Linked DNA regions of Drosophila melanogaster. The protein of the gene in region 3 interacts with the protein of the main gene of each other region in a pairwise test. Each region holds a gene or a part of one and is shown on either strand. Other genes may lie near its edges.

Region 1 (5,665 bases), on a different chromosome or scaffold from region 3:
CTTTTCGGTGCTCATTTTGTGGATATGTTTTCGCTGCCAGTCACCAAACTCGAATGTGCCGCAGTTGGCAAAAAATGAACTTATACAGAAATTTTTGTGTGTTGGGTGATTTTGGTTTTATGGCCTTGGCTTCGTATTATTATCAAATAATGAGTTCGTTATCAAACTCGGTTGTTATAGAAATGATAACAGCACATATTCTTGTACAAAATTCTACCAAAACAAATGTCTAATAGCAAACGGTAGCCAATTCGATAAAGTTCACATAACACCAATAAAACTCAACCACCGTCGTTTATGGTCTGCGAAAAAATGGGTTATTATAATTTGTATTTGGTTTGATAAGAAAATAGAATACATATTAATGTAATTATTGATAATTATGATGTATATATAAAATACAACCCCTTTACGTGAAGGTTACGTTAGTTTTTGAGAACGATATCAATAGTTGTGACGATTTATTGGATATTGAATGAGGGCAAAGTCCATGACAAAAACTCTCTTCTGAAACTCGTGTTATCAGTGTGTGATTTTCATTTGTTTAGAAACAGATATGATTTGTAGTAGTCACACCATTTAAACATTTAATTTTGGTCCTACACTCATCGAGCCAAAAACATTACTCATAAGCGATAAGACCAATTGTAGCATATTGATTTCCATTTATGAGTGGAACTTCGCTTGAACATTTTATGAATCAGCAATAGAGGGGATGAGCTTCCTGTACACCTGAATTCCGTGCAGATATGTGTCGGCCCGCAAATATTCATCATGATTGTGCAGCAGCACCGGGGTGTTGTTGATGGGTGAAAATCCCAGAGCGGGAATTCCCACTTGCCGGACGTAGAAGCTATCGGTGGCGCCGGGGAAAACTCGTGTATGGGTGATCAAACCTCTGGAAAATTTCAACAAATTATGAAGTGAAAACTACACAATCTTTGTTTACCTACAGTTCATCTAGTCCCTTTTTGAAGCCCAGCCAGTAGGGATTGGAGTCGTCTATCTTGGTCACCACCGAGGGGCACTTCAGCGTGAAATCCAGTTCCACTCCACCACCGACTTCGTTGCACCACTCGCGAATCTGATTCTCCATTGCATCGGCATTCTGGTTGATGGCTATGCGAATATCAAAAGTGGCTTCTAGTACGGGGGGAACCACATTGCTTTGGACGCCACCGTTGAGTTGGGTCAGGTTCAAAGTGGTCACATCACCGGACTGCAAGGAGGAGTCCTCGGCCAGTAGCTTGACCTGGGTTTCTCGGAACTTCATCAGCTTATCCATCACAAAGTGAAACTTTTCGCCAGCCGTGCTTTTGTGCAGCAGCGATCCATGACCTGAAGTGCCACTGAATTTAAATCGAAGTTCTGCAGGGGTATAAAATGAATCAGAATATATTGCTACTGATGCAAATGGAAGACTTACGCCACAATGTACGCTCGGCGTAAAATACAGGATAAGTGTCATCTTCACTGGCGATGCCCTCGTCCAGGCTAAAGCCCACATTCATGGCTTTGAAGTAATCACCCTTGACGAATTCAGCCATGCCCATGTGTCCGCCAGTTTCCTCGTCGGGCACAAAAGTCAAATATACGGTCCTTTTTGGCTGATAGCCACTGGCTTTGAGTGCACGGACCGCAGCCATGTACTGACATCCCACGGACTTCATGTCCTGGGCACCGCGTGCATAAATCCGGCCTTGGGCGTCTATGTGGGCACCAAACGGCTCATGGGTCCACTTTTCGGGAAACACGGGCACCACGTCCATGTGTGAGTTCAATATAATGGATTTCAGCTCGGGATGCTTGCCCAGCCACTTCATAATCACCACCGGTTTCGAAGGCACAACAGGATACACCACGTCCACGCGGAGATTAAGTTTGTTAGCCTGGCGTTTTAGGAACTCCACGCATGCAGCTGCAAGGGAAATAGGGATAACAAAATCCAAGGAGCGGAAAAACAAATCCTTACTGTAGTCCACGTCTGGATGCACCGAGGGAATGCGCAAATACTCCTGGAAAATGATTATTTCCTCGTCGTTCTTCCATTGTTCCGTGCAAGTGCACATTTTGAGTTGAATGCCCCGTGGTTCTAAAGGAACTGACTTGTAATCCACCGTGCTGTTTGGTTTGAAGTCTGAGTGTGGATTGACTTAATGGCATTATCAGTTGTTGACTTTAAGCTACTTGATTAGAAGAGCCCACAATTTGCGGATTTTCATCTTTGCGCTAAGAGCTTAATGTTATCTAGCAAAGCCATAATAGTAAACCATAAACTTATTCATTTTCATTTAAATTTCCTTTTTTTGCTCACCATTAATGGTATGGACTATGGACTGGCTTATTTATTCATACATTGTTTATTTAAATGGGTTTTTATAAGCCTGCTTGTTTAAAGTTATTACAATAAACATCGACAAGTAAGCATTAAATGCATTATTTCATAATTGAATTGAGTTCGCTAAGCATCAGCTACGGCAGGAATGAGCTTCTTGTAAACCTCAATGCCGTGCAAATAGGTATCGGCTTTCAGGAATTCATCGTGGTCGTGCAGCAGGATGGGGGTGTTGTTAATGGGCGAGAATCCTAGAGCTGGAATGCCTGCGTAGCGAATATAACGACTGTCCGTGGCGCCGGGGAAAACACGAACCCGTGTCTTGAGGCCACTGAAAGAAACAAGGAGAAAGGATATCAGAGCCATGCCTTTTGTCAGAGCTTCTCATCCTTACAGGTCATCGAGTGCTTTCTTAAAGGCCAGCCAGTAGGCATTCGACGAGTCAATCTTTGTTGGCTCCACAAAGGGGTTTTTCATCTCAAACTCCAGTTCAATGCCGCCGCCAGCCTCCTCGCACCAGTCGCGAATCTGCTTCTCAAAGGCAGGGATATCCACGGTGACGGCAATGCGGATATCAAATACAGCTTCCAGCAATGGGGGAACCACGTTGCTCTGGACTCCGCCCCTCAGTTGGGTGAGATTCACAGTGGTCACATCACCAATTTCGAGGGATGAGTCGTCAGCTAGTTTTTGCACTTGCGATTTGCGGAACTCCATCATTTTGCCTACCACATAGTTCAGCTTCTCGCCAGCAGTATTCGGGAGCAACAGTGATCCGTGACCAGCAGTTCCGCTGATCTTGAAACGAAGATCTGCAGGAAAACATGGCTAGCTTAAATTGTTTGTATGAGTCAATCCTACTCACGCCAAAGAGTCCGTTCAGCGTAGTACAGAGCGTAGGTTTCATCCGCACTAGAGATTCCCTCGTCGAAACTGAATCCCACATTGAGCTTCTTGAAGTAGTCGCTCTTTACCAGCTCCCGCATGCCCAGGTGGCCGCCAACCTCCTCGTCCGGAACATAAGTGAGATAGATCGTCCTCTTGGGTTGATAGCCACTGGCCTTGAGGGCACGCACAGCTCCCAGATATTGGGTGCCCACGCACTTCATGTCCTGCGATCCGCGCGCAAAGATGCGACCCTCTGCATCTAGATCCGCGCTGAATGGACCGTGTGTCCACTTCTCCTCAAAAACGGGCACTACATCCGTGTGCGAATTGAGAATGATGGAGGGCAGTTCCGGCTGGGAACCCTGCCATTTTAGCACCACCACGGGATTCTGCTCGTTCACCGGATAGATAACCTCCACGGGCAGGTCCAAGCTGGCAGCCTGGCGTTTCAAGAATTCCGTGCAAACGGCTATAAATAGCAGACACATTTTATGGCAAGGTCATAAAGATCAGGGTACTCTTATCGCAGCCTCATAAAGATATACATGCCCATTGGAACTCACTGTAATCCACATTTGGATGCACCGTTGGTATGCGAAGATATTCGCGAAAGATCTTAATCTCCTCGTTGTTCTCCCACTTGGCTGTACTCATTTTGCACTCTATAAAATGTAAATAATTAGCCGGCTGATAACAAATCAATTAAATTGTTTGCTGAAATCAGCTGATCGACACTTCACCACAGCGGAGAGCAGACACACAACACACCTTTCGCAACACTGGCTCGACGACGACTGTGCGATCGTGGAGAGAAGCGCGCGTTTAAATATCAGCGATAAGCGAGCGAAAGAGAGGGCATGATAATAAATCCGAGAAGGAACTAAACCTAATTTCTTATCATACGGTGCTGCCTATAAACTGTTTTATCTTACGCATTTGTTTACTTTTTAGATGGCTAATCTACTTTTCAGTACAAATGACTTGCAGTTAACAATTGCTTCCGTCATTAATAATATTCGTGTCTTCCCATTTCTATATGAGAAACTAATTTGATGAATTTAATATCCAGCACTCAAAAATTCAATTGATTACAAAAGAGACATCCCCTAATAGTAATTTCTATCTTGTACTGCATTATTTATAAATTAAACTGAATTTTGCAGCTCATAGCACAAGGAGTGGAACTCTATTTCTGTACCATCCCAATTGGTAGGGATTCCACTCCATGTATTGGTGAACATTCTTCCATCACTTTCCGGTACATATGAACCCACTTTAAGGCTCATTTACTTGGGATTCCCCCTGGCTGATGGATTTATTTGCCTTAAATGGAGGCGAAGGTGCTTCGCATTGCTTTGGGGGTAACAGGACTGCAGGATTGCTGGATTGATGGTGACCCCATTTGGCCCGCAGCCAAGATTTCCGATTACTGATGAATCGCATGCAATCGCATTCCAATTCCAGTTGATTTGTTAATCAAGATGCACTGCACACGTTCGCACCACACGCCCAGTGGGCTTCCGGGTAAACAAGTTGCCCCTCCTCGGGCCTTTCAGCCACTCGAATCCAATTCAAATTTCGCATATTAATAGTGTTCCTGCTGCACTTGCCGACTTTGCTGCACTGCGTCTGTTGTCCCAGTAGTGTGTCAAAAGTTAGTTTCGCATTTAGATTTCACGCTTGTTCCCATACAGAAAAAAAGGTGGTTGGGCCAAAAAAAATACACAAAACCAAAGCCCTCTGATTTGTGTCGCATACACACCCTGCTAGGCCAAAGTTGATATTGTTTTAGTGTGTGTACTCACAAAAAGTCATTAAAAGTTCATTAACAATGTTGCTGGGATTTTAATGGCGCACCAGCAGCAATAGCAGCAACTACAGGCTACACATGTCTGCATTTTAAATAACATCCAAGCCCCACATTCGTACAAACTCGTACTCTCCCCATTTACAGCGTCACATAAGTCAAATAAATACACAAGTTTCCTGCGCACAAACACTCGTTCAGCTGCACAATGGGCCAAAATGGCAAGTTTTTGGCATAATTCGAATGTAATGTCCCTAGAATAGAGTCTATAAGTCTGTACAGAGGCTAAAGTAGTTCATTCTTAGTCGAGTAAAACACGAATCTACTTATCTGATGCCAAATTATTCACTTTTCGCCCATGGTGGTGACTTGGGGGCGCGCCTGTTTGTTGTTTGCTGATGTTGCTGCTGAGCTGACATGTTGTCGCTGGGCAAATAAACTAAATGAAAATTTTGTATATTGTAACAATTATCCGGGCAACGCCGGAAACTGTTTGCGTTGAGCACCCAAAACCTGCAGAACTGCAGAGATGGAACCCCGAGGATATCGCCTAATCCGTTATGGGCGCATTACCTGGCCAAAAAAAGCAAAAAAAAAAAATAAAAGCGAGAGAACTGATATAATCCTCCTCTGCC
Region 2 (4,059 bases), 5.7 Mb from region 3:
CTAATGGTTATCATCAGGACTTTGGCTCTGAGCGGTTCAAGATAGCCGAGAGTCTCTTTGACAATGCAATGCTGGGAGCTGGCCAATTGGCGTCCACCAGTGTGGGCATGTGTGATGCGGATGTGCGGCTGTCACTTTTCGGCTCAGTTGTCGTTACTGGTATGAATTTTCCCTAGGTTTTAAAACTAATTACTTATACCTTAATATTTTGCTCTTAGGTGGCAATACCCTTCTGCAAGGCTTTCCGGAGCGCCTAAATCGCGATCTCCAGCTGCGTGCCCCCTCAAATACGCGCCTAAAAATGATTTCTGCCAATGGCAGCGTGGAGCGAAGATTTGGAGCCTGGATTGGCGGCTCTATTCTAGCCAGCATAGGTACTTTCCAACAGATGTGGATATCGTCGCAGGAGTACGAAGAGGCCGGCAAGAGCCAAGTCGAGCGGAAGTGTCCGTAAGGACAGCGCAATCGAATTCCAATTTTAATTTTAAAGACGCAACTCTATGTAATAATATAAATGTGAAATGTGAAAAGTGTCCCATTATTCAGAAGACATCTGAGCGTTTGTTTAGGAATAGATTGCATTTGATTACGGAAATGTTTTTAGTTACACACATATGTATATATTTACTGCGACGCTGACGCGGACGTTACAGTTTCACATTTCAATGGAGTTTTCACCGGCTGCCTTTTGTCTTTCGGATCTAATTCGTACGTAATGGATATGGAGTGAACTCTGGGTCCTCGCTTTTTGTGGAACTGTTGATAGAGCGGTGGCACATAAATCTTGCGGCGAATCAGCGTCTCTTCTGTTATTTCGTGGCAAAGTTTTATAAATCGTCACATGGCTCCAGACATTGTGTTGTTGCAAACGCATTGCTATGGGCGGAACACATGATGAACTTAGTTTTAAATGATGTTTATCTCGGCTCACTCACCTTGGCATTTAGTATGTCCTCCGACCAGTCCTCCTTGGCAATTCGACCAACAGCGTTGACCAGAATCTTCTTCACCTTAATTACGTTCTCGGCAAAAGTACGGAGGACATCCTGCACGTTGACACCCTCGCAACCCATGCGCCAGCAGTCGTAGTCCGTGGCAATGGCCACCGACCCGTAAAGTAGGCCAGCCTCCTTGGCTAGCACCACTTCTGGACACGTGGTCATGTTTATGAGGTCCCCGCCCCACTGACGGAACATGTGGCTCTCCGAGCGAGAGGAGAAGCGCGGACCCTCAATAGTCACAATGGTGGCCTTATCGTGGGCGGGAATCTCCAGCTCCTTGGCCGCCTGAAGCAGAATGTTGCGGGTGCGTTCGCTGAATGCCGGAAACATGGGCAGGTGGCAAACACCACGTGGACTTTGTGCCTTGCCATCGTAGAAGGTCTGAAGGCGTTTAGTAGTCCTGTCGATAAAGTCGTGTGGAACAACCAGGTTGCCCGGCTTGATTTCCTCGCGCAACGATCCACATGCCGTGGAGACAATTAAGTGGGTGCAGCCCACATCGCGTAGAGCCCAGATGTTGGCCCGGTAGTTAACATTGGAGGGCATGATGTCGTGCTTGCGTCCATGACGCGCCAGGAGTACGCACTGTACTCCATTGATCTCGCCTTCAATCAATGCATCAGACGGTTCTCCGTAGGGCGTCTCCACCACACGTTCCTGCCGCTGTTCCAGGATATCTGGGTCGTCAAGCCCCGAACCGCCAATAATACCAATCTGTGGGTTATTTATAGTTTGGCATTGAACAAAATGGGGTGCTTAATTTTTGGACGGACTACGAACTCACCTTGACCGGAAGCGGGTCCAGATTGGTGTCTTTACATTTAATCGTAATCATGGCTAGCGGAGGATTGTGCTTTTACAAGCTGCTGTTGCGGCAGTCTGGAGCAGAGTAGAATGTTCCCGCTGATAGCGTACTGATAACTGTGTGTCTACACGGTAGGGTGCATAAGCCGCAAAAGCTCGGGCATATTGAAATGACACTCAGCACGTCGTCGTGGGTGTGTAATTATGGTAATTGAATTATGTTTGCAAAATTTTGATTTTAAATCTTATAATAATAGTTATGACAAATTAATATTTATAATTATTCATTTTAGAACAAAACTAATCATTTGATAAAGAATCAAATCAATCAAAATTAAACTAACAAAGCCCTTCTAATTATATTTATTACAACTTATATCCATATCAGTTCCGAATAAAGAAAATAGGAAATTGGAACATGGAATAAATTATTTATTGTATCATTTATATAACAAACTTAATTTGTATGCTTATTTTGTAGGGTGTCTAAATGTGACAGCCGACCCTGTTATCGAGCCGTTAGTCGGGTACCCTACCCGTATGCACTTCACAACACTGCCTGAAGTGAAGAAGAAGAAATCTGAATGTAAACAGCTGGAAGTGCGGCACATGTGTTTTGGCATAGAATCTAAAACAAGGAGAAGGAAAAACAATGTACCACCTTGGACAGGATCTGCCAGGCAACGATGTGGATGATATAGAGGATCTGATATCCGCCGATGATGTCAAGCCGCGTGAGCGCTACGAAAACAAAAAAACCGTTACGGTTCGGGCCAAGAAACGATCCCAAATTCGACTTGAATCTCAAGAGGAGGAGGAAAAGCCGAAGCCCACGATCCACGAGAGTGTCATACCCGGCACCCAGAAAGTTTTTGTGAAAACATGGGGCTGCGCCCACAACAATTCGGACTCGGAGTACATGGCCGGGCAGTTGGCTGCCTACGGATATAGATTGAGTGGAAAGGAGGAGGCGGATCTGTGGCTGCTCAATAGCTGCACGGTTAAGAATCCTTCGGAGGACACTTTCCGCAACGAGATTGAGTCGGGAATGCGAAATGGCAAGCACGTCGTGGTTGCCGGTTGCGTTCCCCAGGGAGCTCCCAAATCGGACTATCTGAACGGTCTTTCCGTAATCGGTGTCCAGCAAATCGACCGAGTGGTGGAGGTCGTTGAAGAGACCCTCAAGGGTCACAGTGTCCAGCTGTTGCAAAACAAAAAGAAGGTCCATGGTCGGCGGGTAGCTGGAGCACCACTCTCATTACCCAAAGTCCGCAAAAATCCATTAATAGAAATCATATCCATCAACTCTGGATGCCTAAATCAATGTACCTACTGCAAGACTAAACACGCCCGCGGTGACTTGGCCAGCTATCCCCCGGAGGAGGTTGTAGAGCGCGCCCGCCAATCGTTTGCTGAAGGCTGCTGCGAGATCTGGCTTACTTCCGAGGATACAGGAGCTTATGGTCGAGATATTGGAAGCTCATTGCCGGAATTGCTCTGGCAACTGGTGGAAGTGATCCCCGAGCACTGCATGTTGCGTGTAGGCATGACCAATCCACCGTATATACTGGAGCATCTCGAGGAAGTGGCCAACGTCTTGCAGCACCCGAGAGTCTACTCCTTTTTACATGTTCCTGTACAGGTAAGGATCGAGTGTAATATATATAAATATTTTTCGATAGTCAATTATTTCTTTTTATAGAGTGGTAGTGACTCTGTGCTGGGCGAGATGAAACGAGAGTACTGTCGGCAGGACTTTGAGCACGTTGTGGATTTCTTAAGGGAACGAGTTCCCGGTGTCACGATTGCCACGGATATAATTTGTGGTTTCCCAACAGAGACAGAAGACGATTTCGAGGAGACGATGACCCTTTGCGCCAAATATCGCTTTCCCAGTCTGTTCATCAATCAGTTCTTCCCTCGTCCGGGCACACCAGCTGCTAAGATGGATCGCATCCCCGCAAACCTGGTGAAGAAACGAACTAAACGTCTCACGGATCTCTTCTACAGCTATGAACCCTATGCGGACAGAGTGGGTGAAATATACACCGTCTTGGTCACAGAAGTTTCACACGACAAGCTCCATTACGTGGGCCACAACAAGAGCTACGAGCAAGTACTGCTGCCCATGCGGGATAACCTTCTTGGTACTCGTGTCCATGTGCGAATTACCAGTGCGAGCAAGTTTAGCATGGTGGGAGAAATTTTAGACGACGAACGCGATTGGACGAGGTGTGCAAAAAATCAGGAGTTA
Region 3 (4,430 bases):
AAAAAAGCCACAGAAAAAGTGTAGGGAACCAAAGTAAGTTTTTGGCCTAATGCGCAACTATGCGGAAAATATTTGCGCTTAGTTTGGGTTCAGCCTAGGAAAATGTAGTCGCACACTGAGCCCACTGCTACGTGTGCTGGTTGAAGGACACGAAAGTGGGCCACGGCATAAGCCAGGGAAGCAGGGCAGGTTGACGACACACAAATGAACTGGGCCAGAATGGAAAGGAGCTGGTGACAACTTTAAGATGCCGAATTACACAAGTGCGTCCTCAATCGTCAGCGATTTATCTGGGCCAAATTCAAACGAAGAAATTCTTACTATAGAGCTGCGTTGCTAGGTTTTACTTAATTTATATAAAAATACACAATTTGGCTCGTTTTACTTACTTTTCAGGGTGATGATAAGTGAATTGAGTTAATGTAAATTATGTCCATCAAAAAAAGAAAGATACCATTATTAGATTTCTAGGCAGAGCCAACAAAGTATATTTTGTAATATATAGGTAAGCCCATTTCATTCATCTACATTTATTTAAATAAAGTAAACAAATAATTTTGACAATCTTTTTAATTTGAATAACTTGCTGTAGAAGTCGATAAGGCGTTTGATTTCTGAGTTTTAGGGAAAGTTGCGCCCTCGGAATTGTGCCAGGGATTTGGTCAGCATCATGGAGGCCTCCCGTTGGGAGCTTCCCTTCCTCTGGACCAGCTGCTGACCGGATGTGGGATAAGTGGGCTTAGATGTTGGTTTCTGGGATCTGTTCAAGTCGTTCGCGGTGTTGGTGTGTTGCTGCGCTTGGTTGCCACCACCTGGCATCGATGTGGAGGAGGCACATGGAAAGAGTCGCTGGGTGGACGACTGGCAAACAATATCTGACATGGAAGTGCTTCCAAGGTTGGCATCGGGCATCCGTTTAGATGGGATCGACTCCACACTTAGTTCCTTCACCCGATCCGCATAACGCAGCGTGTTCAAGGTATGCTCCACCGAATGCAAGCATGGCGAGATCATGGCTATCATGCAGGTTTTCACCTTCTTACCTCCGATGAAGGAGTCCCGCAGGACTTGGGTCAGCTTGGAGCCACGGAATGGCAAATGACTCGACTGGCGCCCCAGAGCGCGAATGCATTCCTTGAGGACCAGCAGCGATTTATTGATCTCGGATCCTTCCAGGCGCGTCTGTCGATCCGCCGAGCTGTTGTCCGCTCCTCTTTCATTCCCGGCCAGATCTATAAGCGAGAATTTCCCGTGTAGCTTCTCGCCCGCCGCGGATCTCAGCACGATTTGGAACACAGCATGCGATCGGGAGGACTTGGAATTGGCAGAGGTGTGACCCGAGGTTCGGACACTATTGCCCAACTCGAGTAGGTCCAGAACTTCGGCGGTGTTCTGTACTGGATTCTGGGTGAGGCCCACCACTTGCACCTGCTGGTTTCTATCCTCCAAGACACGCAGTTGTGGCTTGCCAGGCATCAGGAGATCGAACACCCGGGTGCCGTAGATCTCGAAGAAGCTGCAGTAAACTTTCAGATTAAGCTTGTTATAGGGAACCGTCTTTAGAGTGGAGAACACGTCCTTAGCGGCCATTGCATAGATGCCATCCATTGAGCTCTGATGCCTTCCGGGGAACTGACCACCCATCGTATAGGTCTTGCCGCTTCCAGTTTGTCCGTAGGCGAAACACGTGGCCATTCCGCCATCAAAAATGTGCTTTATCAAGGGTCGGGCTGTGAATTCGTAGACCGTGGCATTGGAGCACTCCTCGTCGAAGACGTAATCGAAACGGAAGCTATGATTTTCCAGGAACTTGACCAGGTTCACATGCTTGCGGGGCTCGTGGACCACCAATGTGTGCTTAGACGGAATGCTGACCACATCCTGTTCCCGGTCAGCCAGCTCCTTGCGCCTCAGTGGTCTCTTCCTCACACAAACCATAATTTGGTGGCAATTGATTCGTTCGTTCGTAGTACCACTTCTCACCCGCTGACTCTCCATTTGCTCGCGTTGCAGTCGTATCATTCTGGCTACTTCCCAGTTGGGATTTCCCGGATCTTCGTTCTTCCCCTGCTCCCGATCTAGACGAGTCCTGGCTTGTGCTTCTCGCCTCCGTTCCCGTTCTTTTCGCATTCTTTCAGCCTGGTGCACCACCTCGTCCTCTCGAACTGGCGGCGCCGTCTGCTGGCGTGGCGGGGCAGTGGCCAGTACAGGAGATAAGCTCCCAGTCGCTATTCGTTGTTTCATTGAACGTGGCGATATGGAGGCAGTTTGATTGGCTGACGCCGCATTGCCGCCACTGCAGCGGGGCGAGTCGAAGATATGAGGATTCATCAGGACCACCAGCTCCAGGGGCAGTTCCTTACCACGCACCGTATGTCCTTCGGGCCACTCCACCGTAATCAGCTTGGAGTCACCGCCCTCCAGTTTGATAATCTCCGCCAAGTGGACTCTACCGTCCGAGCGACGGATGAAAATCTTCTGTTCGATCGACAACTTATCCATGGCAGCAAATCAGTCAGTGCGACTTTCCTTCGATTTCTGCAACAAATTTTGTTAACTGCTAATTTTTACCAATTGAGCGATCATATTATTTAGACCGAATTCTTATTTGGTATTATGATTAGGGCAGAAAACGGGAGTGACAGTCAATGCAATGCTCGATTTTCCGTTAGCCATCTATGCTAGAAATTTTTCAAAAATCATATCAAAATTATACTCAATTTCGATGATTTATGCATCTGGTAAGTGCATGTGAATGAAACAGGTAGTTATAGCGCTCTATTTCTGGTCTTCCCGTGCCATTCTAGTGATATCTGTTCTGGCGGGAATTGTTTTAGCTATTTGTTCAATTTGAGGGCAAACAACAGGCAGCAGGAATAACCGAATCAACAAACAACACCATTCCGAGAGCCTCTCTCGTCAGCCGTGCTGCATGTCCTGTGTGTATTCTATTTGCCAAGCGGGCGGTGTTCTGAAATGAAGCATTCTTTCGACGAAAGAGACGGAAAGAGATAGAGCGAGGAACAAGTTGCAGATACGTTTGCATAAGCCGAGACGTGTGTAACGTACCAAATTGTTATTTATTTTTTGAAGTGCTTGCGCCATTGCCTCTGTGTAAAGGTGTATCTGTGTGTGTCGTATCTGTGTTTTCGCCGCCAAACGTATGGGTGTTCTAGTGTAGGCAGGCGCAGATACACAGATACATTGCCCACAGATACGTGCAACTTGTTTGGGTCTTCAGTGGCGTCTTGTTTGCTATTTGCCGTCACATTTTGCCAAATTTACCGTGTAATTATCGGCAAAGGCGAACGCCAAACCAGTACCACCTCAGACCGACCACCACCCGCCACCCACTGGAAAGTGCAACATGGAAGGGGCGATCAGGCTGGACTCTGGACACTCCTGCTCCCCAGCTGATAGGAGTATGCAAATTTCGATAGCTTTTTGTCCTGTTTGGCCGGGACCCCCAGGCATATTTGTTTAACCGTAGTCAGAACGAGCCGGACAGTTTGATTTCGTTTCGGGTATTTCCATTTTCATTTTGATTTTTAGCCGGCATTTTGCACCTGTACGCAGGTAGCACGTAAGCTGAATATTTGCTATATGCTTGCGTAAACTGCAAATCTGAAATGAACTAATAAAGCAATTGAAATGGAAAACATTTGCCGTGTTTTACACACAAAAAAAAAAAAATTTAATTCCAAATAAATTGAAAAGCCATTGGACTGGATGTGCGTAATGTGGCTTGCATAAATTTCTTTGGGCCTCCTGAAACGCAATCATAAATGCATGCATAATGAAGAAATGATTTCATGGATATAATCTTTTGATATATTGTGCGCATTTTTTCTTTTGCTCATTTTTCTCTAACCCGTCAGCCTCTCGATCAGCCTCAATCATTTTAAATAATAATAAATAATTTACATATTGTTTCACGCGAGCAATGCATAAAGAACACATCCACGCAATGCAATCATAAACAATAATTGTCATTCGGCGCGGATTAAATGTTGTCCGCTAATGTAATCGAATTGGACAATTTCGACATTTAAACTAATCCGTTTACAAAATCCGGATGCAATCACACCACTACACCCCTCTCCCTGCCAGCTGATTACCGCCTTTGCTGCTTTGATTTAATTATGCCTGACAAAAAAAAAAAAAAAACGAACGACAAATCGCAAAGCCGAAAACTAAATGAATTGCATGCATCATTTATTAAATATCAATGTTAAAATTGACTTATGGACGAACAGATTAATTTGTTGTCCCAATTTGAGTCCGGCAAGAGGCACGTAGTTGGAGATGCTCTGCATGATGTCGATGGGTGTTGATGAATCGTTAGGAACTAAGCTTTGCAAACTTTCTTCATGAAGTTCCATATTATCTTCGGAAAGTTGGCTTTCGGCTCCTTTTTGGGCGTATTGTTC

What was found.
Region 1: the proteins of Klp59C (region 3) and CG6726 interact in a two-hybrid assay, tested with the Drosophila melanogaster proteins (one large-scale study listed by BioGRID).
Region 2: the proteins of Klp59C (region 3) and Mtap interact in a two-hybrid assay, tested with the Drosophila melanogaster proteins (one large-scale study listed by BioGRID).

What each region holds. Positions count from the first base shown.
Region 1 is NT_033777.3:23,090,083-23,095,747, reverse strand, and holds CG6726 (uncharacterized protein), read right to left. Parts: upstream 4,025-5,665; 5' UTR 3,992-4,024; intron 3,972-3,991; exon of another isoform or gene 3,886-3,971; 5' UTR 3,878-3,885; coding exon 3,787-3,877; intron 3,693-3,786; coding exon 3,201-3,692; intron 3,148-3,200; coding exon 2,730-3,147; intron 2,667-2,729; coding exon 2,462-2,666; 3' UTR 2,315-2,461; exon of another isoform or gene 2,289-2,314; intron 2,251-2,288; exon of another isoform or gene 2,248-2,250; 3' UTR 2,070-2,247; coding exon of another isoform or gene 1,973-2,069; intron 1,919-1,972; coding exon of another isoform or gene 1,427-1,918; intron 1,369-1,426; coding exon of another isoform or gene 954-1,368; intron 899-953; coding exon of another isoform or gene 694-898; 3' UTR 564-693; downstream 1-563. Other genes in the region: CG17109 (uncharacterized protein), read right to left, coding at 1-15; CG17110 (uncharacterized protein), read right to left, coding at 694-898, 954-1,368, 1,427-1,918, 1,973-2,069.
Region 2 is NT_033778.4:17,425,820-17,429,878, reverse strand, and holds Mtap (methylthioadenosine phosphorylase), read right to left. Parts: upstream 2,085-4,059; 5' UTR 1,837-2,084; coding exon 1,786-1,836; intron 1,716-1,785; coding exon 936-1,715; intron 877-935; coding exon 838-876; coding exon of another isoform or gene 625-837; 3' UTR 564-624; downstream 1-563. Other genes in the region: Bap55 (brahma associated protein 55kD), read left to right, coding at 1-159, 219-454; CG6550 (uncharacterized protein), read left to right, coding at 2,458-3,447, 3,508-4,059. UniProt on the Drosophila melanogaster protein: Catalyzes the reversible phosphorylation of S-methyl-5'-thioadenosine (MTA) to adenine and 5-methylthioribose-1-phosphate. Involved in the breakdown of MTA, a major by-product of polyamine biosynthesis.
Region 3 is NT_033778.4:23,123,406-23,127,835, forward strand, and holds Klp59C (Kinesin-like protein at 59C), read right to left. Parts: upstream 2,638-4,430; 5' UTR 2,503-2,637; coding exon 622-2,502; 3' UTR 518-621; downstream 1-517. UniProt on the Drosophila melanogaster protein: Required during anaphase to drive sister chromatid separation to actively depolymerize kinetochore microtubules at their kinetochore-associated plus ends, thereby contributing to chromatid mobility through a 'Pac-man' mechanism.